Callithrix jacchus: one gene and its partners. The protein of the gene in region 4 interacts with the protein of the main gene of each other region in a biochemical or structural test. Links are inferred from orthologs where the notes say so. Each region holds a gene or a part of one and is shown on either strand. Other genes may lie near its edges.

Region 1 (5,380 bases), on a different chromosome or scaffold from region 4:
TTTTGCTTTTTCAACTTCATTTATATTTATTTGTTTCTTTCAATATAAAAATTGATAAGAGGTTAATTGATAAGACTGTGGTGATTTAGCGTATGGATTTTATGCATTCAACCTTCAACTTGCAAAGTACAGTGATAGGGTTGTGCTTGTTTCTGGCTTGGTTGTGTTTTTTAATATTACATGAGTTTTCCTCCTTTCTTTTATTGTAAATAAATTAACCAGTCCCAGTTGAAGCAGGCAATGTGCTAAGGTTATATCATGGTTATAGCCCCGGTGTTATCAGTAGAAGCATGGCCAAATAGGTGAGAACTTCTTTTTTTTTTTTGGAAACCGAGTCTTGCTCTGTCACCTAGGCTGGAGTGCAGTGGTACAATCTCGGCTCAGTGCAACTTCTGCCTCCCAGGTTCAAGCGATTCTCGTGCCTGAACCTTCTGAGTAGCTGGGACTATAGGCATGTGCCACCACACCCAGCTACTTTTTAGTATTTTTAGCAGAGATGAGATGGGGTTTCAACATGTTGGCCAGCTTGGTCTCGAACTCCTGACCTCGAGTGATCCACCTGCCTTGGCCTCCCAAAGTGCTAGGCTTACAGACGTGAGCCACCGCACCCATCCCTTAGTGAGAACTTCTTATAGAAATTTACTACCCCTATTCATAATTTTATTAGTTTTTTTTCCTCCATGTTTTTCTGTATGGGGTTATTTTTTTAAAAAATTTAATCTTATGAATTTGGGGTTTTACAAATGACATGAGACAGTATAAATTGTAGTTTGGTTTCTATTTGAACCTTTCAAATAATAAACTCAATGAGTTTTCTCTGATTCTACTGAGTATCTTCTCACATGAGGATTCTAGAGCTCCCAACAAAAAGTTAAACTAGTTTAGAGGTTTCTCTTTGCTTTTCAGAGTCCCAGACTAGATCATATTTGTTTAGCTGGAAGTATATTTGTTGTTGCATACTTGATTGAAGGGGACTTTTTATGATAATTTCAATGTGTCACCTACAGAGCTTTTAAGAGATGGATTTTACTTTATATTTGGGAGGTTTTTTGTTCTGTTTTTGCCACCTTGTTAACTCTTGTGTAATATTTATGAGAAAGAATACTGTCCAGATGGAGATAGTACTTGCAGATGTTAATCTGGATGGACTCAGATCAGCTCTAATTTGTTTCAGTTCATAGATTGTTATATTTGTTCTGTGCATTTCATGAAGTTTCTTATCCTTAGAGTTATTTCTGTCTTAGTAACAGCAACAAGTGGGAATGGAGACTTTGGTGACTGGAGTGCCTTCAACCAAGCCCCATCAGGTCCTGTTGCTTCCAGTGGCGAGTTCTTTGGCAGTGCCTCCCAGCCATCAGTAGAACTTGTTAGTGGCTCACAACCAGCTCTAGGCCCACCTCCTTCTGCCTCAAATTCTTCAGATCTGTTTGATCTTATGGGCTCATCCCAGGCAACTATGACATCTTCCCAGAGTATGAATTTCTCAATGATGAGCACTAATACTGTGGGACTTGGTTTGCCCATGTCGAGATCACAGGTAAGTTGTCTGGTTCCGTTGGAAGTGGTTACTGATAATCTTTGAGATTCTTTAACTCATCTAATGATAGATTAGTATGAAACAGAAAAGCAAGCCGTGTGTGTGTGTGTGTGTGTGTGTGTGTGTGTGTGTATGCATCTGCACGTTTCATTTACCTTATACTCTTTCCCATAGCATAGTCATTTACATTCTGGAAGGCAAGGCATTCTCCCCCCATCTTGTAGTCACTATAAAGCCAAGCATGGTGCCTTTGTACAGAGGAGGAACATGCCAAAAATGTGTTGTTATGACAAATTGGTATTTAGTAGTGTTTTTAAATTGTCTTTAAGAAAAAGAAATGGAGATATTGTTTCACTCATGGCAAGTATTCACTTAGTAAAATACCTGGTCATGTCCCTAAAGAAATATCACTCATTGATTGTAAATAATCATTGCTAATATGAAAATCATTCCCTCAAATGGCAAATGTTCTTCCCAATTCTGGACCTGCTCTACATTATATAAATGTTTTATAGGCTCATCTTTCAACTTTCATTTTCATAAAGAAAAACTAAAATGAGAGCTTCTTCATTCACTATTTTATAGTTAAATCCAAATTGTCTACTACTAGCTTAGAATTCAAAACAAGTGTGGGCTTGGAAAATACGTGTCTGAATTGTACCAGGAACTTGCTATTTTTGACTCAAACTATTGAGAATATGTGTTTATGATGCTATTTACTCATTTTAATGTGTAGATTCTCCTCTGTAGGGTATTAGGATGAAGGAAAAGAAGAAAGAAGCAGAAAGGTGACTGCTCTGTAAAACAGAAATAAGACCTAATATATGAGTTAAGCATAAAGCCGATCTATTTTATTTGCAGCCTTAATTGTAACTGTCATAATTCTTTGCATTGGTACTTTTTAAATTATAAATTATTCTCCTGTTTCTGTTCTGTTATTTTTTTTTTTTTTTTTTTTTTGAGACGGAGTCTCTCTCTGTCGCCCAGACTAGAGTACCTCTGCTTCTTTCCTCTGAATTTCTTGTTTCCCATACATTGGTCTGTGTATATCAGGTTCACTTAGTGTTGCTCACTTTAGGTAGTAGAAGTATACACAGAGCAGGGAAATGTCAGTCAGATATGTGAAATATAAATTGCTTTTTGACAGTTTTGCCTTATATCTCTGTATAATGTGAGACATCATACCTGTTTTGTTTTGTTGTTTTTAGAGAATCTCACTCTGTCGCCCAGGCTGGAGTGCAGTAGCACGATCTCTGCTCACTGCAACCCCCACCTCCCTGGTTCAAGCTATGCTCCTGCCTTAGCCTCCCAAGTAGCTAGGACTACAGGCACGTGCCACCATGCCTGGCTAATTTTGTATTTTTAATAGAGACGGGATTTCATCATGTTGGCCAGGCTGGTCTTTGAACTTCTGACCTCAGATGATCCGTCCACCTCAGCCTCCCATAGTGCTGGGATTACAGGCGTAAGTCATCATACCTGGCCTCTCAATTCTGTTTTGGAAAGAATAAATTTCCACTTGTGTATCTCCTTAAAGCCATACTAACCTAAAATTGGTAGTAATTGGTAGTTCCCCTGGGCATTTGCCAGGGATGGTGACTTTTAGACTTTGAGTGATGAGAGAATAATTGTTAGTGTACGTAAGTTGTTGATTTTATCCACTTCAAACCTGATTGGGACTTCAGAGGAACCTCTTTGGGAAACTAATGATTTGGGGTATTGAAGACATTAGCATAGAAATTCCTGGTTCTCTTTGTTTCAGAAGTTCATTATTGTGATTAAATTGCCATCTGATAATTTTAATAGAACAGATGCTTAATTTTTAGAGCATTTTTCTATTTTCCAGCCTTTGCAAAATGTTAGCACAGTGCTGCAGAAGCCTAATCCTCTCTATAATCAGAATACAGATATGGTCCAGAAATCAGTCAGCAAAACCTTGCCGTCTACTTGGTCTGACCCCAGTGTAAACATCAGCCTAGACAACTTACTACCTGGTATGCAGCCTTCCAAACCCCAACAGCCATCACTCAATACAATGATTCAGCAACAGAGTAAGTTACCTTAAGACGTCCCACTTCTTTATGTACTTGCAGTCTTTTGCCCTAATGCCAGGAGTACTTCAAACTGAAATAAAAATACGTGATATAAACTGTAACTAACAGTTAACCAAATGCCTGTTCACTTAAGATATTTTCACAAAATATTTACTGGATATTCCTCCTGGCACACCGAATTAATTTATATTTTGTTCTTGCCATGATAACGTTTATTGTATTGTGGAGAGTTTTGAGGACCTGATCACTAAAATAAAAATTTGCTGTACAGATTTTTTTTTAAATATAGGCAAATATGATGGACAAACAAAAATCATCTGATTCTGCAGTTGAGGGGTAATTGCCATTAATACATTTTTTTTTTTTTTTTTTTTTTTTGAGACAGAGTTTCACTCTTGTTACCCAGGCTGGAGTGCAGTGGCGTGATCTCGGCTCACCGCAACCTCCGCCTCCTGGGTTCAAGCAATTCTCCTGCCTCAGCCTCCTGAGTAGCTGGGACTACAGGCGTGCACCACTATGCCCAGCTAATTTTTGTATTTTTAGTAGAGACAGGTTTTCACCATGTTGATCAGGATGGTCTCGATCTCTTGACCTCGTGATCCACCCGCCTCGGCCTCCCAAAGTGCTGGGATTATAGATGTGAGACACTGCGCCCGGCCAATACATATTTCTTTCTGTCTTTTCTTTTTTGAGAAGGAGTCTTGCTCTGTCACCCAGGCTGGAGTGCAGGGATGCAATCTCGGCTCACTGCAGCCTCTACCTCCCAGGTTCAAGCAATTCCTTGCCTCAGCCTTCCGAGTAGCCAGGATTACAGGCATGTACCACCACACCCAACTAATTTTTGTATTTTTAGTAGAGATGGGGTTTCACCATGTTGGCCAGGCTGGTCTTGAACTCCTGATCTCAGGTAATCCACCTGCCTCGGCCTTCCAAAGTGCTGGGATTACAGGCGTGAACCCCCATGCCCCAGCTGCTTTCCATCTTTTCTAAGCATATTTTTAATACTTTAAATCATTCTCTTTATATTGATTTGTTTATTGCTGTTCTTACTCAACTTTATGATCATTTTCCCTGTATTGAATAATATTCTTAGGAAAAATGATTGTTAGCTTTTAATAGTTACCATATTAGTGTATGATTTCCCTTGGTAATTATTTCAGTTTCCAGCTTTTTGTTATTACAAGATTTTATATAAATCTTCATACTTTTGATTTTTTTTCTTAGTAAAATGTTCTAAATGAAGTTGATGTAAACTTTGTAAAGATTTTTGTTATAAATCAGGATTTTGTATAAATCTTCATACTGATTTGTTTAATAGAATGTTCTAAAAATAGAAGATGTCGATATAAACTTTCTTAAGATTTTTGATACACGCTAGCTCTTGACAACTTGTTAAGTAGGATTTAACAATAGGTTTTGTAGGAATATTCTTTAATTTGGCTGTTTTTCCCCAGTCTACTCTTACTGTTTCTATATCTCTGGGGAGCCAGAGCCAATAGTCACTGAATGTATTTCTCAAGAGGAATCAGTGCAGATTAATTGACTTCTATATAAAATTACTGTAAAGGAATTTTAGGGGCTAACGAAGTATGGATGGTCAAGAAGATACTAGTTCTCTGCTCTGTGAATCTAAGAATTTATTGTGGTAAAGTTCTTCTGTCTGTTTTCTTCTGGTAGATATGCAGCAGCCTATGAATATGATGACTCAAAGTTTTGGAGCCGTGAACCTCAGTTCTCCATCGAACATGCTTCCTGTCCGGCCCCAAACTAATGCTTTGATAGGGGGACC
Region 2 (6,200 bases), on a different chromosome or scaffold from region 4:
AATCAGGTGACATCTAATCTCTCCCAAAGAAAGCCAGGGGAGGGGGTACTCACAAAGCCTCCCACAGAAACACAATCTAAGTAAGGGTGAAACCAGTCCAGTCCTTGCCATGCAAATGTAGCCTGAATGGCACTGCCATCGCCCATCCCCGATCCCCGTGTCCAGGTCTTATTTGGGTAACCTCCCATGAGACAGAACTTCCTCCTCGCGTTTCTCTTCTAGGCCCTCATAGCCTCTCATCAATGCTAGAGGTCCCCATTGATTTCCTCCCTTCCATCAGGCCCCCACAATCCATCCCACAATGTAAGCTCCTCAGTGCAAATGTCTGAGCAAAAGCCTTCAGTGGCTCCCTGGTAACTGCAAATGCCTGCCTCCTTTTCACTTCTCTACTGATGTGTGAATTTTTACCAAACGCTCTTATTAATTAAAAAAAAAAGCCAGGTGCAGTGGCTCACGCCTATAATCCCAGCACTTTGGAAGACTGAGGCGAGCGGATCACGAGATCAGGAGTTGGAGGCCAGCTGACCAACATAGCGAAACCCATCTCTACTAAAAATATAAAAAATTAGCAGGGCATGGTATTGGGCACCTGTACTCCTAGCTACTTGGGAGGCTGAGGCAGGAGAATCGCTTGAACCTAGGAGGTGGAGGTTGCAGTGAGCTGAGATCACGCCATTGCACTCCAGCCCAGCAACAATGCAAGACTCCCTCCCCCCCGACCCCCCCCCCAAATGTCGGGGCAGGATGGCTCATACCTGTAATCCCAGTGCTTTGGGAGGCTGAGGTGGTAGGATCACTTGAGCCTAGGAGATCGTGACCAGCCTGGGCAACCCAGCAACGTTCCTTTCACTACAAAGAAGTAATTTTTTTTTTTTTTTGAGATGGGGTCTCGCTCTGTCTCCCAGGCTGGAGGGCAGTGGCCGGATCTTTGCTCACTATGGCCTCTGCCTCCCTGGCTCTAGTAGTCCTCCTGCCTTGAGAGTGGCTGGGACTACAGGCTTGCACCACCACACCCAACTAATTCTAAAATGTGTTGTACAGATGGGGCCTTGCTCTGTTGCCCATGCTAGTTTCAAACTCCTGAGCTCAAGCAGTCCATCTGCCTCAGCCTCCCAAAGCGCTGCGATGACAAGTGTGAGTCACCTTGCCTGATCAAATTAAAAAAAAAATACACTTGAATCACCAAATTGTTATGCCTAAAGGTGCCATTCATTACTTTGAGTTTCAAATAACTTTAAAAAAATGCATCTACACCAAGTGCTGTGGCTCACTTCTGTAATCACAGCACTTTGGGAAGCCAAGGTGGGAGGCTCGCTTGAGGCGAGGAGTTCGAGACCAATCTGGACAACATAGGAAGACTCTATCTCTGCAAAAAAATTAGCCAAGCGTGGTGGCGTGCACCTGTAGTCCCAGCTACTCGAGAGGCCGAGGCAGGAAAATCGCTAGGGCCCAGGAGCTCAAGGCCACGATGTGTTATGATCTACACTCCAGCCTGGGCGACAGAGGGAGAGACTGACTCCAAATGAAAACAAACAAAAATACCTAAATTGGAATTTAACCAAAACCTTGAACTTTCTCCAGAGTCTCTGCTAAGCATCACACTTCTCTCTGCCTGCTGGTACCCTGGCTGACGTCTGAGCAGGATGCGATGCGCGCCTCAGAGCCTAAGATAAAACAGAAAGTGCCTGTAGGGCTTTCTACCAACAAATAAGTTCTGACGGATTCATTTGATGAGGTTTGGAAGGGAGGTCCTGGAAGGTGCCCGCGGACTCGGCCCTGAGCTCCCGGACCTGGGCTCTGCGATCCTTGCAGAAGGCATGGACAGGGGCAGGATGGGAAGCCTGGAGGCTGGGTGGAGGCGGCTACCCACTGAGGTCGGGTCCGGCCAGGCGCCCACGCTGCGCCAGCCTGCCGGGCTGCGCTTCTCGGGGCTGCGGCCGCGGAGCTGGTCCGGCGCTCCCCGGTCCCAGGCCCGGAAAGAGCTAACGAGCTATTCGCAGACGGGCCGGGATTCCCCCAGGGGAGGCCCCACTTCCCAGCCTGCGTGATCCCCGCCTACCACCCCGGGCCCTCGCGGGGCACCCCCAGCAGGAGCAGGCAGGGCAGTGGGCGGCGCTCGGCGGAGGGCAGCGCGCTCTGGGCGCGCGGGGACCGCGGGCGCTGGGAGGAGAGGGTGGTGCGCGGGCGGGGGCGGGGCGAGCGAGGGCAGATCAGGGCAGCCCGCCCCCAGGCCCCGCCCCGTCCAGGCCCCGCTCCGGCCGCACCCCGCCCCGGCCCCGCCGCGAACGGCCGGGCCCCGGTGACTGACAGGACTCCAGACCAGTCACCGCGCGCCTCGAGGCCCCAAGGGGCCAGTCGGGGCTGACCCGCAGAGGGGCTTCGGTTGGGGAGGGGGCGGGCGGGGAAGCCTTTCGGAAAGGGGCGGGGTCTCAAGAAGACTGGCAGAACTCACAGCCAATAGCAGGCGGGAGCCGTCCCGTTAACGCCGGATCCCCGCGGGTAGGGCGGGGCGGGCGGTGCGGTGGGGATCCCGGGGCGACCGAGGGCCCCAGACTCGGCTCCTCACGGCGACATGGATCGGATGGCCAGCTCCATGAAGCAGGTGCCCAACCCGCTGCCCAAGGTGCTGAGCCGGCGCGGGGTCGGCGCCGGGCTGGAGGCGGCGGAGCGCGAGAGCTTCGAGCGGACTCAGGTGAGGACGGGGGACCCCGGGGCATCCCTGGGGCACCCTGAGGGACGCGGTGTCCGGGAAGGGCTTTGAAGGGAATAGGAGTCTTGCAGGCCCCAGTTGAGGACGGAGCGAGGGGGTCGTGAGCGGGGACATTGGCGTACAGATCTGGGCGATCCCAGGAATGTCGGGGACCCCAGGGTATCCCAGCTGGCCTGGGGAGAAGGGCAGGAGGGTCAGGGGCGGGCTAGGAGGAGAAGGCAGGATGCGTGCGGCCAAGCGGAGCCTGAGCGGCTGGGGACCCGGCAGGGGTCCCAAGGGGAGGTGAGGGGGGGAAGGAACTGAAAAGGGACGGAATGGAAAGGGTGCCCCTAAACAGCGGAAGCGCACGGGAGCCACTTGGAGACTCACGTGTGGGGGCGGAGAGTGGGGGCGCCGGACTGGGAGTGTGAAGGGTGAAGGGACCTCTCCTCCCCTCCTATCACTTCTTGGTTGCACTGACATCCCCTTCCAACCTGCACCCCTCAGCATCCCCCTTTCTCGTTGCCTCTTGTTTGGCTCTGGCCAGCCCCAGCTGTCAGCTCTGAGGCCGCGACGAAGGGTCGGAGCAGGGAAAAGGAATGCAGGAAATGCAAAGTGTGGCCAAGCTGGGAAAATGACTTTGGGGGCAAAAGTGGAAACCACTGTGCTCCATGGTGCCCCAAGCCCTGATTTGGGGTTTTGGTTTTATTCGCCAAGATGTGCCTGACAGCTACTAGGCAGACTGCCCTATTTGTCCTGCCTGACCAGGGCTCGGGGCCAAAATTCCTCATTGTCATCAACAAAAAGCCACAATCCATTTTTACCTCCGAGTTTTTAATGCCTGGTGTATTGATTGGACTGAATTAAGCTGACATGTTGATGTTGTTCATCCGTTCATTTGTATGTAAAATCCATTTCAAAGAGTACAACGCTTCTTTTAATCCCAGTGCCGATGTTGGAGGGGCAGATTTGTTCTACACTCTTGCGCTCAGAGTGGAACCTTTGAAGACCCAGTTGGGTCCCCCACTGCCAGAGGCTGGTCCCCTGATGTGTAAGGAATACTTCCCCTAGACACGGTTGGAGGGAAAGTGCTTTGGGATTTGAGTTAGAAAAGATGTGAGAATCTGACTGAGGGTTCTGTATATGGAATCTTTCAAAGAATAAAGCTTTTGGCATAGTGTGATACCTCACGCCCAGCACTTTGGGACGTCTAGGCTGGTGGATCACCTGAGGTCCGGAGTTCGAGACCAGCCTGGCCAACATGGTGAAAACCCATCTCTACTAAAAATACAAAAAATTAGCCGGTGGACGACCGTAATCCCAGCTACTTGGGAGGCTGGGGCAGGAAAGTTTCTTGAACCTGGGAGTTGAAGGTTGCAGTAAGCTGAGATTATACCACTGCACTCCAGCCTGGGCAACAAGAGCAAAACTCCGTCTCAAACAAAAACAAAAACAAAAAAGAATAAACCTTTCCACCCCCAGAGAACTTCATCCTCTTCTTATTCTGAAAATCTTTGCCTGAGCTGCCCTACCCCACACCGGGGCAACATAGTGAAACCATGTATCTACAAAAAATAAAATAATAGGCTGGGTGCAGTAGCTCACACCTGTAATCCCTGCACTTTGGGAGGCCAAGGTGGGAGGATTACTTGAGCCCAGGAGTTTGAGATGAGCCTGGGCAACACGATGAGATCCTGCCTCTATTTTTAAAAAAAATTTTCAATTAACCTGGAGTTGGCATATACCTGTAGTCCCAGCTATTCGAGAGGCTGAGGCAGGAGGTTGAGCCCAGGAGGTTGAAGCTGCAGTGAGCTCTGATTGTGCCACTCCAGCCTGGGTGACAAAATGAGACACTGTCTCTACAACAACAAAAAAAAAAAAAAGAAAAGAAAAAGGAGAAGAGAAGGTGGCCCCACGCAGGTGTGTCTGAATGGTGTGAGGCAGTGAGACCCTATCTCTAAAAAAAAAAAAAAGAAAAGAAAAAGGAGAAGAGAAGGTGGCCCCACGCAGGTGTGTCTGAATGGTGTGAGGCAGGGGGTCTCCCCTACCTGGTGATCCTATCCCAGGAGGGAAGTGGCAGATGGTCATTCATTTCACTTCTGCCTCCCAGGATCCAGCTGGGTTTGAGGCTTGTTCTCTGATTTCATGGACCAGACCCCTGAAAAGAAGGAAGTTTTCTGTCTGTCTTGGATGTTAGTGCGTCTGCTAGCTGCCTGGTTGTATGAGGCTTCTTGCTCCATGAAACAGTGTGTATATTCCTTTTATTTTTATATTTTTGTAGAGATGGGGTCTCACTGTGTTGCCCAGATTGGTCTCAAACTCCTAGTCTTTAGCGATCCTCCTGCTTCTGCCTTCCAAAGTGCCGGGACTATAGGCGTGACCCATGGCACCCAGCCTATTGTTGTTTTTAAATAAATGAAGTAAGAAAATAAACAGACCAGGTGCAGTGGCTCAAGCTTGTAATCCCAGCACTTTGGGAGGCCAAGGTGGGTGGATCACAGTCAGGAGTTCGAGACCAGCCTGGCCAACACAGTGAAACCCTATGTCTACTAAAAATACAAAAATTAGCTGGATCTGGTGGCGAGCACCTGTAGTCCCAGCTACTCGGGAGACTGAGGCAGGAGAATCGCTTGAACCCGGGAGGTGGAGGTTGCAGTCAGCCAAGATTGTGCCACTGCACTCCAGCCTGGGCGACAGAGCTAGACTCCATCTCAAAATAAATAAATAGATATTATTTTATAACAACCCATTTCTTCTAGAGTCTCAAATAAGTAAAAACTAGAGCAAGAGAAATATGCATAAGAGTTTGACCCATAACAGTGATAGAAATTAGGTTTGTGAAAGTTTCCACCCATGAGTGGCATGTTTTCTTGCTATCCAGGGACAGCCCAACAGGATAGTCTAGGTCAGTGTTTTCTGGTGTTTTACATTCTGTGGGACATGTGACTGGCCAGATTTGACCTGGGTGAGGTGAGTAGGGATGATGTGGAGTGGAGCAGAAAAAGAATTTTTCTGATGTTGAAACTCTTATTTTTATCTTTTTATTTTTGAGATGGGGATGTCACTGTGTGTGCCCAAGCTGATCTTGAACTGCTAGCCTCAAGCGATCTTCCCATCTCAGCCTCCCAAAGTGCTGGGATTTCAGGTGTGAGCCACTGCACTCAGCCTCTGGTTGAAAACTCTTTAGGGGAGTAGGAGAGTAAAGAAGCAGAACAAGCCCAGACAACAGTGTAAGACCCCATCTCTACAAAAAATAAAATTCGCAGGACGGGGTGGCGTGTGCCTGTTGTCCCAGTAACTTTGGAGACCGAGGCGGGAGAATTGCTCGAGCCCAGGAGGCTGAGGCTGCAGTGAGCAAAGATCGCGCCACTGCAATCCAGCCTGGGCAACACAGTGAGACCCCATCTCAAAAAAAAAGAAAAGAAATAAAAGAACAGCCCTAAAACCCATCATTAGTCAATCTGCAAAAAGTTATTTTGTTTAATAACTATCTATCAAATGTATTATGAGG
Region 3 (6,341 bases), about 12 Mb from region 4:
AAGCTGGGCTATAGGGAGTTTCTCCAGGTTTTTTCCCAGTAGTGTTAAAAAGGAGGGTGGCGGCATTTCTCAGGCTAGCAGACCTTTAGGCTTTTTAACTGCTCCCTAATCTCTGCACACCACTGCCCACCAGCCAGGTGGGCAGGTGTGTGTGTGTGTCCTTAGCCCAACCAGCCAGATGTATGTGTGTATTTGCATCCTCAGGGAGGACTCTGCCAGCTAGGGGTGTGTGTGTGTGTGTGTTGCATGCATGTGTGGTCTGTGAGTGTGTGTCATGAGTGTGTGTCTTTGGATCCTCAGGGAGGACTCAGCCCAACCAGCCAGGTACGTGTGTGTGTGTGTGTGTGTGTGTGTGTGTGTGTGTGTGTTTGGATCCTCAGGGAGAACTCAGCCCAACCAGCCAGCTAGAGAGCAGCTGCCACCCTCACTATGTCCCCTCAAGGGGCTCTAGGATAAGCAGGCCACAGCCTGGGTGGGGGCTGTTAACTCTTCCCAGGGTGGCGCACCTTGGGTTGGCCCCTAGGAGGGCTGTAGGCACATGGCTTGCTTCTGGCCTCCTCCTCTGTGGTCTTGCTTGGGGACCCGGGTCTGCCCCACCCAGCCCTGTGGCTGGCTCAGGTTGAGCAGCCTCTGTGGCAAGGGGCTTCAGGAGGGAAGGAAGTCAGCTCTTAGCTGTCACAGGAAGTGGGGAGCTAGGGGTTGAGGATCATCTTGGGGCAGGCTGGCAATCCTTTAGGGGAAGGCTGGACTCTGTTGGGGCCCAGGGAGGGTGAAAGGGATAAGTGCCATGGAGACTCACCTTGCAGTTAGGACTTGACTTCTTGAAGACCCTAACAAAACAGAAAGGGAAACCCCACTGCTTCCCTCAGACTCAGCAGGCACCCCACACCAGGACCCTGTCCCTCCCAGGCCTGGGAAGCAGAGCTCACCCAGGACTCCTGCCTGAGGCTGCAGGGCTTTGCCCAGCTCTGCCCCTTTCCACTTCTTCCTGTAAAGTCCTTCCTATTTCTAACATGACAGCAAGGAAAAATGCCCCTTCTCTTGTCCACCCTCCTTAGTCCCCTTCCCTCCCTAGTAATGGCCACTGATTGCCCTAGGAACCACCCAGGCTCTTCCCCAGGCACCCGAATGGGCAGGTTGCCGCAGCATCTGGGTAAGACCTAACCATCTTTCCATCGGGTCTACAGCTCCAACAGCTGGAGCATATAAGAGAGCAATGACCCTGGACTTTGACCCTCAAATGGTTTCTACCATAGGCCCTAGCCCAGTTCGACTCTATCCATTCACCTCCAACTGTCCCCATCTCCGACCTTAGCAGCTTAAAAGCCTCTTTGTCTTTTAAGGTCCAGCCTTTAGGAAGCTGACCCAGCCCAGACCCTGGTCACTCCTTGTTTTGGGTTCCTGGCTCAGTTTGTTTATGTTTTACTTGTGGTGTGGCAGGACACAAGGGCAGTTAGCTGCCTCCCTCCTCAGACTGTGAGCCTTAGAGGCCTTATTCATTTAGGCATCTGCAGCACACTGCCAGCCACATGATGATGATGATGATGATAATGCTGGCTAACATTACAGGGTGGGTACTCCATGCCCAGCACTGTTCCAAGTGTTTCAAACGTGTTATCTCTTTTAATAATCTTTTCTTTTGAGACAGAGTCTCACTCTGTCGCCCAGGCTGGAGTGCAGCGATGCAATCTCTGCTCACTGCAACCTCCACCCCCTTGGGGTTCAAGAGATTCTCCTACTTCAGCCTCCCATGTAGTTGGGATTACAGGAGTGAGCCACCACGCCTGGCTATATTTTGTGTTTTGAGACTGAGTCTCACTCTATTGCCCAGGCTGGAATGCAGTGGCGTACTCCTGGCTCACTGCAACCTCCACCTTCCGGGTTCAAGCAATACTCGTGCCTCAGCCTCCCAAGTAGCTGGAATTACAGGTGCCTGCCATCATGCCCAGCTAATTTTTGTATTTTTAGTAGAGATGGGGTTTCTCCACATTGGCCAGGCTGATCTTGAACTCCTGACCTCCCATGATCCACCCGCCTTGGCCTCCCAAAAGGCTGGTATTACAGGCTTAAGCCACCACATCTGCCCTATATTTTGTATTTTTTTAGTAGAGACGGGGTTTCCCCATGTTAGCCAAGCTGATCTCCAATTCCTGACCTCAGGTGATCCGCCCATCTCGGCCTCCCAAAGTGCTGGGATTACAGGCGTGAGCCACTGCACCTGGCCCATTGGGTTAAGCGTATTAAAAGAAGGCTGGGAGCAGTGGCTGATGCCTGTAATCCCAACACTTTGGGAGGTTGAGGTGGGCAGGTCACTTGAGGTCAGGAGATCCAGATCAGCCTGCCCAACATGGGGAAATCCTGCCTCTACTAAAAATACAAAATTTAGCTGGGTGTGGTGGTGCGTGCCTGTAATCCCAGCTTCTTGGGAGGCTGAGGCAAGAGAACTGCTTGAATCTGGGAGGCAGAGGTTGCAGTGAACCAAGATTGTTCCATTGCACTCCAGCCTGGGCAAAGAGCAAGACTCTGTCTCAAAAATAAATAAATTAATTAAATAAAATAAATAAAACAACCCAGTGATGGAGGTCCTAATATCTCTATTTTATAAGTGAGGAAACTGAGGCAGAGAGAGGTCAAGTGTTTTGTTTAAGGTCACAGAGAGAGTAAATGGTGGGAATTCATATAAACCCAGGCAGTCTGGCTCCAAGTCCATACTCTCAATCAATATTATACTATCTGTCTCTGCAGTTGGCATTAATAGTTTGTTGAATTGAAGAGTATTCGCTTTCCAGTTGCTGAAACAACTTCAGCCTGGATTCCACCCATGGCTGGGTAAGGAAGGGTTTGGCAACCCCAGTTAATTGTGGTCTGTTCTTTGAAGCACCACCTTGCTGCTTCTACTCTATTCTGCCTCAGCAGAGATAGGAAAAGGTCCCAGATAGTAAAAAGTGAAATCCTGCCAACTAGCCCATCCCTCCTCCAACTCTACCACCCCATTCCCAGAGGACCCAAATGGGCAGGTTGCTTAAGTGTCTGAGTAAGACCTAACCATCTTCCCATCTGGTCTACAGCTCTGACAGCTGGAGCACATAGGAGAGCAATGACCCTGGCCTTTGGCCCTAAAGTAGTTTCTACCATAGGCCCAGTTTCCGCTACAACTTCACTTGCCCCTTCTTCCCAGAATGTCAAGTTGTCCAAAGCTTGTAAGGCAAAGGGTATGGAGGCCCCCAGGTATTCCCAACCAATAAAGGAGAATAAACATCAATATGGCGGCATCTAGAATAAACACCCTATCTTTTGTTCCAGCTTGGGGGCTTAGTGCCGTGGCATCATCCAGGTTCTCCTGCCTCTTTGCTTCTGGTTTTCCTTTGTCCCAGGGTGTCCTCCCATTAGGAGCCCTGGCACAGGGCTGTGACGGCCACAATCAGTTGGCCCACTGGAGTGTGGCTCTGGCGCAACTGTCCTGGAGCAGCTGCAAGGCACCTGCCCTTTGGATCCTAACCCAGCCACCTTCTGCCAGGCTGGGGAAGAGCAGCGTGCATATACTAGGCTGGACAAGGAGGGGGAGCATGGGGATGACCAGGGAGGTGCCCAGTGGGAGGCAGGGGGTAGCTGAAGCAGACGTCCTTTCACACTTCCTGCTCTTCTGTTTCCTGTGGCCCAGAATTTGATTGGGGTGCAGGAAATTGTGCCAAATCAGCAGTCCCTTTGGTCCATCTGTCCCACTCCCTGAACCACATAATGGAAATCTGGGGCCTCCCACAAGTCAGCAACTTCCCCTTTCTCTGGGGTGTTTAAACCCTAATCCAGGACACCGATTATTTCTCTGATCATCTCTTTCTGATACTCGTTTACTTGATGCACAGAAATCCAGGTTCTCATACTCCATAGGTTGGAAGTGGGGTCGACATGATGTTTTGCAGAGCAAGCAAGAGCTCAGGACCAATCCCCATTCCTGAGCCCCTCTGGGTTGAGGCCTACAGCCCCAACCTTTTCGCCTTTTGCTCCTGCTCCCCGGGACTCAGGCATTCACCCCTTGCCCCTTGGGGGTGTTGAGTCACAACAGGAAGTGGATTTTGCTAGAGACCAAAAAAGAGAACTCAGGGTGTCAGTGGAAGGAAAGAGCCTCGATTGCACAGAAAACATCCGGGGAGTGGACGCGTGCCCAGGGTGAATACTGCCTCCACAACCCACAGAGAGAGGGATACGATCCAGTTTCAGGGAGGGTCGCCACACACACGGCTCCCCCAAGATGAAGCTGTTGCTCCTGGCAACCCAGGGAAAGGTAGAAGTTTGGATGAGGAGCCGCTCGGCCTTGGGACAGGTGTGGTCAGCGCAACTGCCTGGGGGATATTGGACTGGAGGCTTTCCATTGGCTTGGAACGAGTCTAGAGGTGATCCCCCCTTCCGGCATCCAGCCTCCGGTACACGACCCCTCAGGGCCAGCCACCTGCTCCTCCTTCCTCTGTCCCTGCAACGCAGCCTGCACCGGAGAGCCCAGTAGTCCAGCCCCACATCCCTGCGAGAACCCCGACACCGGTTTTCTCATCCCCCGCTCAAGCCTCGCTTTCTGCAGGGGCCCGGGCATTTCCCCCCCACCATTATCCTCGAAGACCTGCGCGTGCGGCCCCGGATGGCTGCCCCTAGGGACCCAGGTGTCCGGCCCCCAGATCCTCTCCGCTGTGTCCTCGTCTGGGACCGTACCAGCACCCGCCCCGAGCCACCGCCCATACCCTGCCGCGTGGCCCCACCTCCCTTACCTGGTGCCGGGTTTCTCCCCCATGGTGCGCGCGCCCGCCGCCCGCTCGGTTCGCGGCTGGCTCGCAGCCTCCTCGCCCGCTGCCAAGATCCCTGCTCCTCCCCGCACCACTGCGCACGCGCGCCCTCCGCGCTCTAGCCTCTTCCCCTCCCTCCCGGCCCGGCTCTGGTCCGGGGGAACCGGGGCCAGATGCGTCAGCCGGATCGCGCGCGCCGCGGCGCAGCCCGCCCTCTCCTAGCAGACACTCGCGCCCATTGGCTCCGCCCCCAGCCTTTCGCGCTGCGTCCCAGGGGGCCCGCTCCCCCTCTTCCCGCCCATCTCCCCGCCCCACCGCAACCCCTTGGAAACCGATTGGACCTCCTTAAACCAATGCACCCGCCTTCCAGGGGATCGAAGTCTTTCGATTGGCCCTGGGCATCCAAAACCTGCAGGGGGTCTCCTCCCTTTGGTTTGCTTTCTCTGTGGCGGCGGGGGCGACGGGGATGTTGGGGCTGCTGGAATGAGCTGGAGAGCCGTCTAAGAAGGAGGAAAGAGGGGATGCACACGTGGGTGAGCGGTTCAGTTACGTGATGCTTGCTTCAGTGCGCGCCGCTCGTCCGCTCGCCTCGGAGCGTGCCGCTTTCTGTGGCCCGGCCTCCCACATCTTTACTGCAGTTTGTCAGCTCCCTCTGATGTCTACATTTGATCTTTGCAGGGTTCCCTGTTCCAATTTCTCTATCAGTCTCCTTCAGCCACTCATCCCAGGTAACATCCACTCACTCTCTCCCATCCACACCCATCTATCAACCCATCCATCCATGCCTATTTTTATTTTTCTTTTATCTAAGTTTTCTTGTCGCCTAGGCTAGAGTGCAGTGGCACGATCTCGGCTCACTGCAACCTCTGCCTCCGGGGTTGAAGCGATTCTTCGGCCTCAGCCTCCCCAGTAGCTGTGATTACAGGCGCTCGCCACCACGCCAGGCTAATTTTTGTATTTTTTGGTAAAGGCAGGGTTTCACCATCTTGGCCAGGCTGGTCTTGAACTCCTGACCTCGCGGTCCACCCACCTCGGCCTCCCAAAGTGCTGGGATTACAGGCATGAGCCACAGCGCCCGGCCATCCATGCCTATTTTTTGCTATTCGCTATGCCAATTGATGGGGACACATAGAATTTACCATGGCCCCTGCCTTCCTAGAATAGTTGAGGAGACACATACACAGGTATTATGATCCCAGGAATGCTATTACAGAGGTCTGAGTCAGAAGACACAGCAGCTAACAGTGCTTGGCCAGGGCAGGGGTGGAGGGAGTGCAGGCTGTCTAGAGTGGAGAACATTTGAGGACAGTGTTTCTGAAGGACGGTCAGTTGAGAAAGGCCATTCCAAAGAGAAAGACAAGGCACATCCTGTTGTGAAGTGTTGGTGAAGAAGCCTGGAACAGGCTGCGGAGGATTTTGTATAGCAGATGGAGTGAGATTGAGGGCCCTGCAGTAGGACACATGGGACCGGTAGTGGTTTTAATTTTTTAATTTTTTTTATTTTTCCGGTAGTGGTTTTTAAAGCAGAGGGGGCTGCGCGTGGTGGCTCACCCTATAGTCTCAGTATTT
Region 4 (5,570 bases):
AATTAGCCATTCTGTACTCTAAATTTAAGCCTCAGAAAATGAGGGAGCACCTGGAGCTGTTCTGGTCTAGAGTGAATATTCCCAAGGTAACCAGTCATTATAACACAGTAAAGCAACTGTGTAGTTAAAACTAATACTTAAAAATATTTCTTTTTAACGCTGTTAGCTAGACTTATATCTAAAGACTTGCTTATTATGCAGGTGCTAAGAGCTGCAGAACAAGCTCATCTTTGGGCAGAACTGGTGTTTTTGTATGACAAGTATGAAGAATATGATAATGCCATAATTACCATGATGAATCATCCAACTGATGCCTGGAAAGAAGGGCAATTCAAAGATATCATTACCAAGGTGTGTACTTTCTTCAGAAGATAAAGGATTCAGAAGGAGAAAGCTCATTAGGAAGTAACTGACTTATGTATGAATTTTCCCATTGTAGGTTGCCAATGTGGAACTATACTACAGAGCAATACAGTTCTACTTAGAATTCAAGCCTCTGTTGTTAAATGATTTGCTGATGGTGCTGTCTCCACGGCTGGATCACACTCGTGCAGTCAATTATTTCAGCAAGGTAAAGTAGTAATTTTAAACCAAAGTTTCATAGCAAGGAATTAGGACATATTTGGATAACTTTTGTCCCTGGGACTTCAAAAATGTGCTGTATTTGTAACTCTTTATTTTAAAGGTTAAACAGCTACCACTGGTGAAACCATATTTACGTTCAGTTCAGAACCATAACAACAAATCTGTGAATGAATCACTCAACAACCTTTTTATTACAGAAGAAGATTATCAGGTAAAACCTTTTGATTCTTGCACGTATTCTCAAGACACATAAAGTTATGTTTTCCCGTTTTTTAAAAAAGCCATTATCATTTAGGATTGTAAACAGTAGGTGCTTGCATACCCTAGGATCTAAGTTTAGTAAGGTTTCAGTATTGATAAATCTTCCTTCTTCTAATTAAGTACCAAGTTTTCAGAATTTTGCTCAGAAATTGCTTTTCCGAGCAATTTTGCTCAAAATACTGCTTTTGCTCAAATATTTGCTCAAAATACTGCTTTTGAAAAATGATTACTTTATCTCTAACATCTAGATTATAGGTAGAGTCAAAAATGTCTTTGATCACTTAATTCATAAAACTTACTTGGTATTAACTGCATTTATTCACTGCTTTTCTTGCCTAATGTTTTATTAGTGTTTGTATAAACTTTCTCTTTTGAAGGATTTCATATAAGCAAAAGTCAAGTAGAGTTAAGGTTAAGCTACTTGCTCTTTTTTCTCTCAATTTTCTTTGAGGCTCAACGCATGCAGATCTGTACTGCTGCCATGCTGGGTTTTATCAGAAGTTTCTCTAGAGCATAAAATCTTGCCCTCCATGCCTGTAATCCCAGCACTTTGGGAGGCCAAGGCACGTGGATCACGAGGTCAGGGGTTCAAGCCAGCCTGACTACCACAGTGAAACCTGGTCTTTATTAAAAATACAAAAAAATCAGCCAGGCATGGTGGTGCATGCCTGTAGTCCCAGCTACTCCGGAGGCTGAGGCTGAGGCAGGAGAATTGCTTGAACCTGCGAGGCGGAGATTGCAATGAGCCAAGCTCGCCCCACTGCACTCCAGCCTGAGAGTGAGACTCCTTCTCAAAAAAAAATCTTACCCTCCAAATTAGAAATCTTGTCAATTTCATAGCCATTGTTAGTCCTTGATACTGAAAATCTTGGAGAAAATGGTATCTTTAGGAAATCTTTACCTTTGAGGACTTTATTGTCATAGAATTAAGAAACTTACCTTTTGATGCTTGAATCTAAGTGTCATATTACATGTTACCATCTAAGGAGGTCTTTGATCAAGGACAGAATATAATGTTGAACAAAATACTGATCTGGCATTTGGATGCTTCTTTTTTTTTTTAAAGGCTCTGCGAACATCAATAGATGCTTATGACAACTTTGACAATATCTCGCTTGCTCAGCGTTTGGAAAAACATGAACTCATTGAGTTCAGGAGAATTGCTGCTTACCTCTTCAAAGGCAACAATCGCTGGAAACAGAGTGTAGAACTGTGCAAGAAAGACAGCCTTTACAAGGTTGATAAAGTTGTGGGGCTGGGGCTGTTAAACCGGGCCTAGAATGGGTGTTACAAGAGATTATGTTCTATAAATAAAAGTATTGGTTTTGTGAATATGAGAACTGACTTTTAAGGGCTGTCTTATGTTAAGGCCAAACTTGTTTGGGGGAAAAAGGGCCTTTAGCTTATCTGTTCTTTCGAAATTTTAATTTGAATGATATAACTAGGAGGCTTTTTTCCCCCCTTGCAAACCAGATTTATATTGGAAAGTTTCTATTGTTTTTCTTGGTTTACTAATTCAGTATGTTGGGTCTAATGTTTTTTGACTTTCACGATTTTCTTTGAATAGGATGCAATGCAGTATGCTTCTGAATCTAAAGATACCGAGTTAGCTGAAGAACTCCTGCAGTGGTTTTTGCAGGAAGAAAAAAGAGAGTGCTTTGGAGCTTGCCTGTTTACCTGTTACGATCTTTTAAGGCCAGATGTCGTCCTAGAAACTGCATGGAGGCACAATATCATGGATTTTGCCATGCCCTATTTTATCCAGGTCATGAAGGAATACTTGACAAAGGTAATCACTCTTCTAAGTGTATTCAGAACTAGTTTTCTTGCAGATATGTAAAATTCTACATGCACGTTAATTTTTTTAATGTTTTTTTCTCTAGAAGTCAGTCATTTAGTCAATCATAAAATATTCCTGTTCTTTTGAAAAATTTTTTTAATAGCTGACAAAAGACACTGATTGGAAAGGGACCTCAAATGTAGCTGTTAACCCACAGTGTATTCATGAAGGTGAAAATCGGTATTTTGGGTTTTTTTTAAAAGAAATATTTGATACATTTTATTTCAGGATAGCATCTTTCTCAAAATCAGTTTTTTACTCAAATTTCATAACTAGTATTCTAGATTCCCTTTTATTTGGTTGGTTCTTGACTTTTAATGATGTCCATGCCTATTTCCCCTGGGGAAGCTGCTTGTATATTCTTAACGTCCTGTTAATCTTCACAATTTTTTTTGATAGTTTAACCCCTGATTTAAAAATATAATAGGTGAACACATTAAACAAGCTGGGGGTATAATGTCTTTATAAAATTCACTGTTCATTTTAGTGTCCCTTTTTGATGTTAGAATATTTTTTACTCACCCTATCTTCAGCACTTACTAGCTTTCTCTCTGTAGAACATTTTTAAATGGTTTTAGAGGATCCTTTTCGTCAAGCAAAAAACATGCTTAAAATCAGAGTCTCACATCTGATCCCTTCAGCCTGCCTAAGAGGGGAAAAAAGCAATACCAACAACCTCTACTATACTGAATTTTTCCTCAGGATACCATTGTGTCTGTTTAAAGTTCTTAAAGAATTAACATTTTCTGTATCCAGCGTAAAAGAAAAAACATGTTGCCTTATCTTAGCCATAGATGAGCATAGCTTCTTAAACATAATGCCAACTTGTAAGACCTGTCTCTAAGCTGCTGTTAACCTAAGTGCTGTAAATTTTACTAGCGATTAAGCTGCTTTCTTTCGTACTGTAGCATAAATTTTTCTGCAGTAAGCTTTGAAGTTACAATTCTAAATTTTGCTTCCAGTATGCCCTTTATTTTCACTTCTCTCATACCTTTTTAGTGGTTAGATGTTTCTTCCCTAAACCTTTGTTGCTGATTCTACCTTTTTATGCTCAATATGGAATTTGATTTTTTTTCTAAGCTGCACCTTCTGAATTCCTTTGCAGGTTGATGCAATAAAGGAAAAGGTGAAAGTTGATTCTTTTCCATCTTTAAGTCTGGAGGACTAAGTCTAAGGAATTTGCATGATTTTTTTCCTTCCTTTTCTACACTGCTGCTGCTGCTTTTTCCCCCCAATAAATTTTCACTAAAGCCTCTGCAAGTCCCTTGAAACATAACTTTAATAGAGCTGTAGGACATTAATAGATGTTTGCTACTAATCGGCTAATAGGCTTTAGGAAGGGCAGGAGGCTAATCAGTAGTTGGTTCACAGTCTCTCTTAAATATATTATTAAAAACTGAGTATGGTGAGTTTCCATATTAATTCCAAAGTAACAGGAAATTTATCTTCCCTGTCAGGGTATCTGGACCATAATAGGACTATGATAATACTTAAAGTAAATTAAAACAGCCTCTGGTTTTACTTTGTGAGCTTGCCTGACAGTTGTTGAATTTATATATGTATATATATGCCCTAAAAGGCTTTTTGGGGATTTTTTTTTTTTTTTTGTATTGAAGGACTGTGATCCAGTTTCTGATCTCTTGATTCTTACTAATTTTTTGCTGAAAGTAGACACAAGAGATACTAGCTGCTTCCGAAGAGACTTTCCTCATGTTTCTCCAGGTGTCCGGTTCTTATGGTGCTAGTCCATTAAGAAGAATCAAAACCTTTTTAATCACGAGAGTCAAGCTTGCTATAATTGTTGCTAAGCAACATGAATTATTTCTAACAAAGTATTAACTTCTATTTTCTGTATTAAGGCATACTTCTGAAGCTAGCTAAAATTTGCTCTCCTGTTTATCAGTTGGCTTGCCCAAGGAGGTCAAATTCAGGCACCTTTTGGTTGCTGCTTCCTTCATTGGCTTGTCTCCATCCCAGTATAAATGAAACAAACTTCTTATATCTGTTATCAAATTATGGTTAGAAAAGGGTGGGAAGGTAAAGGAGAATTGAAACAAATTTAAAAGATTTGGGTGGGGGACAATGCCTTGGGATTATGTTGAACCAAACTGGAGTCACCACTGGAACTTAGGGCAAACCTGAGTAAAATGCATTGTGTGTGAGACCCTTCAGCAGCTAGTAAGCAAGGCAGTTAGAAAGCGTGTGTGTGAAAAACAGGTAATTGAACTGCAGTGTTATGCATTGTTTTAAATGAAGCATGTACAACAGTCATTGCAATTACATCATACTATTTTTGAAACTCTTATAGCATTGCTGTGGGCTGTGTGTGTTTCTTGAGAGCCTGTATAGCAAGTCATCTTCAGATCTCACTTCTTGCTTCAGTACTTTTGCCTTTTTTTCATGCACACATACACCAAAATAACTGACTGCATGTTACTTTTCCTCTGCAGCATATTGCAGTCTTTGTGGAAAAGCCTTTTACATTTTAGTGAATTTTCAGTAGTGCAGATGGAACTGAATTCATTGACATGCTTACCTGTAGTTTTTCTTTTTAAATCCAAGGATCAGAAACTTTTGTTACAGCTTTTAACAAAAGCTTGTGTTCTTAAAAGCCTTCTCTGCTTTTTTTTTTTTTTTTGAGCAATCTAAATTGGATCAGTGGAAACAAAAATTGAATGTCCCGGTGCCAGAGGCTGTCCCATTATATAGAAGAATCAAAATTTATTGCTGAGCTTGATGCTATTCCTTTAGAATTTTCCCCCATCCCCAAACTTTCTACATCTATGCTGGGGCACTGTGATATTGCTAGCTCTTCTAAGTCTTCCATGTGTTTTCTAATAGGACTTCTGTGTTCAACATCTGATTCAGACCTTAACTTTTAAAC
Region 5 (6,173 bases), about 17 Mb from region 4:
GGCTTTAAAACTAGGCAGCCATGTCATGAGTCAAACTTAAGTCTTTTATAAGCTTGATCTTTCTGGATCTCAGATTATATATTTGAAAAATGAGGTTAATACTACCCATCTCCCAGGAATATGAAGATTAAGATAGATTTCTAGTTGCAGACACTTAACCCATTTTAAATAAATAAATGTTTACTAAGTGTTCATGGAATTGAAATTGTGATAAGATTTTACTGCTGGTGCCATTTTACCCTTGTGAGATTCTGCTCCTTCTCTGACCTTAACTTAGCTGTGAATTCTATTGTCCCTGCTGCTAGACTATACTAACATTAATCACATTGATTTTCACCCCCCGGAGAGAAGCGGGATCATGGAGAAAAGAACAGAGTACAAGAAGAGAAGGCTGCAACAACCACCACAACACCCTGGAGGGCACAGAAAGAGAGAAAAACTTCTGCCAGGCATTGCTAAGATGGAACACAGGTAGTACTCATCAACCTTGGTTCTGTTCACCCAAGCATCAAGTCCAGAAGACTCTCCTTGCTACTGCTTCTCCTCTTCTCAGTGCCTGAGTCCTGTAACGTAAGGAAATCAGACACAGGAAGAAGGAGAAGGGAGACGGGAGGAAGGAGGAAGGAGGAGGGAGGAGGGAAGAGGGAGGAGGGAGGAGAAGAAAACCCACATAAAAGTATGTAAAAAATTGATCTCTCTGGATGCTTGGTTCCTTCCTAGTTCTCACTGTCTGGTGGAAGGCCACTGACACCAACATTGGCCTAAGCTAAAATTGGCTTTTTCAGAGATCGTAGGTTGATTGTAGGTTGCAGAAAAGACAAAGTATTTTGCTAGAGGCTGTAGCATCAAATACAGATTAGCTTGGTGATGTCACAAAAGAGATGTGTCAGCAGAGGCTGCAGTGATGACTAAGGAAGTTGATAAACAGCACTATTTGAAATAGCTACTTGCCCTGAATAGGCAGGGGGAGAATATTAGTTACAGGTGGGACAAATCCCATTATGAGAAATATCATCACAACAAGAATATTTCATTCTAGATTTTAGAATCTCAGGTTTTGGCTCACTTCAGTCAAGAAAAGTTATAAATAATTGAGTTCGAGATAAATAATTAAATGTTAGTGCCTTGGAGTGCATGGCAATTGGTTTTGACCTCTATTTTAAAATTCACAAGACCACGGAAGTAAGTCAAACAAACCAGGTCCCCTTCGTCTCCATAGTCACCATCGCCAGGGCTAAAAACAGACTTGAAATGGGTGCCAGTTAGACTACAGGAAACAGGATCTACACACTATCTGACATCGCCTGGGGATACCTCACTCTCTGGCAGGCTTCTGCTGGCTGGAGATTGCTAACATCGCTAATCCGATATTAACTGAATGCAAAGGAATAGGAAATAAATTCTGGTTCTGAAAGTGCAGCTGGAAAGGTGTTGGGCTTCTCCAACTGGGACCTACATTCCAAAGCAGGTCTAAAGCCATGCATACTCCTTGCCAGAGGAAAAGGAAAGCCCCTCTCCCATTTTTAGAATCACGCTGGAGGTGGGGTTAGAAACCAAGAGCTTGCCTGGCGGCGCCCTGTGGTCCCTGGAGGAAACAGGAGAAAGACAGAGAGGGCTTGCTCCTGAGCAGCTCCAAATTCGAAGCCTATCATTCCTCCTAGACAACACCTACAGCTTTAAAGGGCAGGGCGCACACCTCCCTGCCCAGATCTCTAGGGCGGAGCAGGTCAAGGGTAAATATTTCTAGTTATTAAATTTATTCAATGGTTAACTATTAATTTTGTGGGTACCAGATACCAACCTAATCGGTTTACGTTCAAGAATCAGTTTAATGCCCACAATTCCCAGATTTGTGTTATTAACCTTCTATTATCTTTGGTTTACAAACGGGAACCAAAGAGGTGCACAGAGGAGTGGCACTCTGCCCAGCCAGCGACGGGATCAGAGCCTGGGTCTCTAATTCCCAGGTTGGAGATCCCAGGCTGCCTGGCTCCTCTTTTGCGCGGCGAAAAGCCCACTTGGGATCCGAGCGGGCGGCCACGTCACACTCGCAGGCTCCGCACGCCCGCCGCTGCCCGCCTATACCACCTGCAGCTGGCAGCGCCGCCTCCTCGCGGGTCCCTCAGGGCGCGCTACAGGTGCGCAGGGCGTCCCGAAGCCCCGCCCTCGCGTCCCTGCCCCTCGCTCGGCGCCCGCGCCTAACGCTCGGCGCCTCACCCCCAGTTCCCGCGCCCCGCAACGGCGGCGCAGGACGCACGGCCTCAGCCTGAGCCCGGGAAGCGCTCGGGCGAAGAGGAGGAGCCAAGGGTACCCAGAGGGTGGAGCCGGGAGCCGGAGAGCTGTGGAGGCGGATTTCCTGGACCGGGCCTCCTGGCGATACCATGGCGTTTGGCAAGAGTCACCGGGATCCCTACGCGACCTCAGTGGGCCACCTCATAGGTAAGGAGGCGCGGGGAGAGACGCCCAGGCAGGCAGGGGACCGTGGGATCCTTTTCTGCTTGATCCATTCTCAGCCTGCAGAGGACCGAGTTAGTCCAACTTAGAGAAAATTCTTCCCCTCCCCCGCAACTTTCCCAGGGCACCCGCATTCCAGCCCGGCCCCCTTTCGTCGTTTCCTTCTTGGCCAACTCACTCTAGCACCTCAGTCCTCAAAAATGTACCTTCCTTTCGATGCCTCCTGGGGAGCGGAACCAAACAGGTGAACCCCGGGAGTCAGGCATGGAGTGTTAGGGCCTCCATAAGGAGACACCAGAAACTTCTCGGCCTGGCGAAAGTTTTTCCTAAAGGCACACTCTTCAGGGCACGGTATTGTTATGCCCCTTTTACAGATCAGAAGAGGAGGCTCTCGGAGACTAAGTGACGTGACCTTACTGTGAGGAGCAGGTATCCCCAGACCAGTTTTCTCTAGCGCCAAGTGTATACAACCTGGCTGTCTTTTCTGGGCAGAGACAATGATACTTGGCATTGGAGTGAAGAGGAGGGGAACAAAGGAGCCATCTAGGGCCATGGAGGTGTCTAGCAGGCCACTAGGGACTACACCGGCATCCACCTAAATGATTTATCTCTCCTCTGGATGTACCGTGCATGATGTATGTAGAAGCCAATGATTAGACTCTTACCAGCACCAGCTCACTGCTCCCTCTTTTCCCTGATTCCTTCCTTGGGAATTGGGTGAGGCATGATTGCATATTAATGCCAGGCAAAGTGGGATGATGAAATCGTGAGAACCTAGTAGTTGTAGTATAGAGGCCCAGATTTGGAAAATTTAGGTCACAGCTCAACTAACTGCCTTGACACTGAGCACACCGCTTAAATATAACCTTAGTTTACACATTTTTTTTTTTTTGAGACGTAGTGTCTCACTGCCTGGGCTAAAGTGCAGTGGCCAGATCTCAACTCACTGCAACCTCTGCTTCCCAGGTTCAAGCAATTCTCCCGCCTCAGCCTCCGGAGTAGCTGGTATTACAGGCGCCTGCCACCATGCCCGGCTACTTTTTGTGTTTTTAGTAGAGACAGGTTTCACTATGTTGGCCTGGCTAGTCTCGAACTCCTGACCTTGTGATCCGCCCACTTAGGCCTCCCAAAGTGCTGGGATTACAGGCATGAGCCACCGCATCCGGCCAGTTTACACATCTTTATAAGATGGTCACAGTAGCTACCATTGAGGAGATGCTTTCCCTTAATGGCTGTACTTCGTTTGATATTAGAATGAACCCTGAGCAGAAATGGGTTCAGACCCATCATAGGCAGAAGAAATTTCGGCAGTTCATCTACTTAATTTTTTAATTCCGTAAACATGGGCTATGTGCCTGGACTTGGATCACACGCTGGTGAGGCCAAGGTAAGAGGTGGTCTCAAACCTGAGGGAACTCACTTTCTTGTAGGGAATATGGGCACAGTTTTGTGCTGCACCTTTGCAATGCAAGAAAATGCAAAACACACAAAACTTACAAAAAGGGGGAAATGAATTCTGCTGTGGCTTTTGAAGGGTGAATGGGAGTTTTCTAGAAAGATAAGAAGATTGGGAGGAAGAGCGAGGAATGAAGAGGAAATGTCTGGCAGACTGAACAACAGATACTTAACAGCACAAGATTGGTCAGCTTTGTTTATTTGGAGCCAAATTCAAGTGGTTCTTTTCCTTGGTTGAAAGCAAGCTAAGCTTTGGGGTTCCCCCAGACAAGTCCTTTCTCTTTTTTCCCCCTTCTCTAGCCTTTTTGTTTTTTCTCCATTTCCCCCAGAACCCTGTGTTTTCATGCTTAGGGATCTTGTCCTTTCTCTTAGGAAGATAGTAGCACATTCATAGCAAGTGTTCCGTTACTCTTTCCAGATAACATCTTGTATTCTTAAAGGGGCTGTCTGGAGAGGGAAAGATGCCATATTATCTAATGATAGGGTTCCAAATGCAGAAGCATTCTGGTCAGCCTGGTCCAGCTGTGGTTAGTGTAGATGCTTATTATTATTAGTCCAGATAGTTATTCAGTGCCAGTTTGAAATAATTAAGACTGATAGTAAAAGTGTGTGTGATGGAGGTTTTTACGTAGTTAAGCAGTGTCTTTGCAAGTATTGGTTGAAGTTATAATGACTGGTAAAATTAGAAGAAATCGTGAGATTAAGATGATAGGAGAATAAATGTATTACTTTTATTTGGAGTTGTGCCAATGTTTTGGCTCCTAAGACCATTGCATTACTTCTCTCCTTTAAAAGTTCTTTCCTCCTGTCCCCAGAGAATAAATTATTTTTTAAAAAAACAAACAGTGGGATCAAACAACCTAGATTTGAATGCCAGTTCTACTTTATACTGTCTGTATAACTTCGGTAATTTCCTAACCTCTCTGAACTTCTATCTCATCATCTCTAACAGTAGGTTAAATGAGATGGCATACGATAAAATTCTTAGCACTATGCAGTTCACCTTGTAGGTAGCTGCTCACTAAGCCTTAGTTCCCTTCTCTGAAAGCCAGGCAGTCAGAGATTTAGCTGGCCTGTTCTGGGCCTGTGGCCAGGTGTTATGCTTGCAGTCTTTATTAATAGGTCACTCATTGTTGCTGCAGCAGCGCTCTGAACTTGGGTTCTGATTGATTCCTGAATTTCTGAGAGCTGTTCTGAAAAAGATCACGTTGCCCTTTGGCAATATAAACTTAATGGCCCTTGCTAGTGCAGCCTAGGCAGATTATTTCAAGAATACCAGACATTTTTTATTCTGTTGTAGCTCAGACTCAACAGCTTTTTCTTGGCAGAAAAGGCTACATTTGCTGGAGTTCAGACTGAAGATTGGGGCCAGTTCATGAACATCTGTGACATAATTAACACCACGCAGGATGGGTGAGTACAGCCTATTTTCCATGTGTTTGCCTCTGACAAGAAGCATCAGAACTACAGCACGTTTTCTCTTGCAAATGTTTCAGTTTTCTTGTTGCAAGAGTGTTTTCATCATCCATTAGGCACCCTCTACCTTTTGAAGACTTGTCAGGTTGAAATATTGGGGCAGCTGCTTGCTTCAACATGTGGAGGGAGTATCCATAAATCCACTATAATTTTTCTCCTCTTGGCAGTTTCTTAAATAGTTTCAAATTTTGTCAGTGTGAAACTCAAATTCCTTCTGTTTAAAAGATTGAAAAAAAGAGACTGTTTCATTCTTTAGGAATATCTCCAGCTTCCATTGTTAGTATTTGATGAAACTGTCAAATATTATCAAGAAGCTGGTTGACTCCTGGTAGTAAACTATTTTTGGGCAGTTGTCTTTAGTAACCAGGAAACAATCTCACAGTCTTTTTTCCTCCCTGTCACAGGACAGTTTTTTTTCCTTCTAAATGTCAACTCAACCATGTTTAAGCTATATTCTTGTAGCATATGCTATCTTTTGTTCTACTTCTTAAACTTTAGGGAATTGAAGTTATAAGAAAAAAGTCATAAGAGCAAACTGGTTTGCGTTTAGTCAATTACAAGGTATTATAAGGAATACAATTCTGGTAATTTTCCAGTGCATATTAAAATGATAATTGACAGTAAAAGATTTAGTCTAGCTTATGTTGATAAAGAAAACATCAAACTTAATTATTGATTATAAATAAATGAAAAGTGTTTATGGTTAGCATTTTAAGTGTTTATAGTTTTTTCCCTATAATCCAATTTACCATGTTTACCAATTCATTGATGATACAAAAAGAGAATCT

The links.
Region 1: the proteins of CLTC (region 4) and CLINT1 form a complex in vitro, tested with the Homo sapiens proteins (2 studies listed by BioGRID). The link is inferred for Callithrix jacchus from reciprocal best matches to the Homo sapiens genes CLTC and CLINT1.
Region 2: the proteins of CLTC (region 4) and HIP1 form a complex in vitro, tested with the Homo sapiens proteins (3 studies listed by BioGRID). The link is inferred for Callithrix jacchus from reciprocal best matches to the Homo sapiens genes CLTC and HIP1.
Region 3: the proteins of CLTC (region 4) and ARRB2 form a complex in vitro, tested with the Homo sapiens proteins (3 studies listed by BioGRID and IntAct, with this or other methods). The link is inferred for Callithrix jacchus from reciprocal best matches to the Homo sapiens genes CLTC and ARRB2.
Region 5: the proteins of CLTC (region 4) and TOM1L1 form a complex in vitro, tested with the Homo sapiens proteins (2 studies listed by BioGRID and IntAct). The link is inferred for Callithrix jacchus from reciprocal best matches to the Homo sapiens genes CLTC and TOM1L1.

The regions. Positions count from the first base shown.
Region 1 is NC_133503.1:20,564,793-20,570,172, reverse strand, and holds part of CLINT1 (clathrin interactor 1), read left to right. Parts: intron 1-1,244; coding exon 1,245-1,537; intron 1,538-3,383; coding exon 3,384-3,588; intron 3,589-5,268; coding exon 5,269-5,380. UniProt on the Homo sapiens protein: Binds to membranes enriched in phosphatidylinositol 4,5-bisphosphate (PtdIns(4,5)P2). May have a role in transport via clathrin-coated vesicles from the trans-Golgi network to endosomes. Stimulates clathrin assembly.
Region 2 is NC_133503.1:10,646,748-10,652,947, reverse strand, and holds the start of HIP1 (huntingtin-interacting protein 1), read left to right. Parts: upstream 1-2,508; 5' UTR 2,509-2,572; coding exon 2,573-2,692; intron 2,693-6,200. UniProt on the Homo sapiens protein: Plays a role in clathrin-mediated endocytosis and trafficking. Involved in regulating AMPA receptor trafficking in the central nervous system in an NMDA-dependent manner. Regulates presynaptic nerve terminal activity.
Region 3 is NC_133506.1:106,267,907-106,274,247, reverse strand, and holds the start of ARRB2 (beta-arrestin-2), read right to left. Parts: upstream 4,871-6,341; 5' UTR 4,781-4,870; coding exon 4,758-4,780; intron 831-4,757; coding exon 800-830; intron 1-799. UniProt on the Homo sapiens protein: Functions in regulating agonist-mediated G-protein coupled receptor (GPCR) signaling by mediating both receptor desensitization and resensitization processes.
Region 4 is NC_133506.1:94,261,656-94,267,225, forward strand, and holds part of CLTC (clathrin heavy chain 1), read left to right. Parts: coding exon 1-86; intron 87-201; coding exon 202-351; intron 352-439; coding exon 440-571; intron 572-685; coding exon 686-796; intron 797-1,912; coding exon 1,913-2,083; intron 2,084-2,413; coding exon 2,414-2,635; intron 2,636-3,791; coding exon 3,792-3,812; intron 3,813-5,570. UniProt on the Homo sapiens protein: Clathrin is the major protein of the polyhedral coat of coated pits and vesicles. Two different adapter protein complexes link the clathrin lattice either to the plasma membrane or to the trans-Golgi network.
Region 5 is NC_133506.1:111,302,749-111,308,921, reverse strand, and holds the start of TOM1L1 (TOM1-like protein 1), read left to right. Parts: upstream 1-2,349; 5' UTR 2,350-2,381; coding exon 2,382-2,439; intron 2,440-5,209; exon of another isoform or gene 5,210-5,237; coding exon 5,238-5,322; intron 5,323-6,173. UniProt on the Homo sapiens protein: Probable adapter protein involved in signaling pathways. Interacts with the SH2 and SH3 domains of various signaling proteins when it is phosphorylated. May promote FYN activation, possibly by disrupting intramolecular SH3-dependent interactions.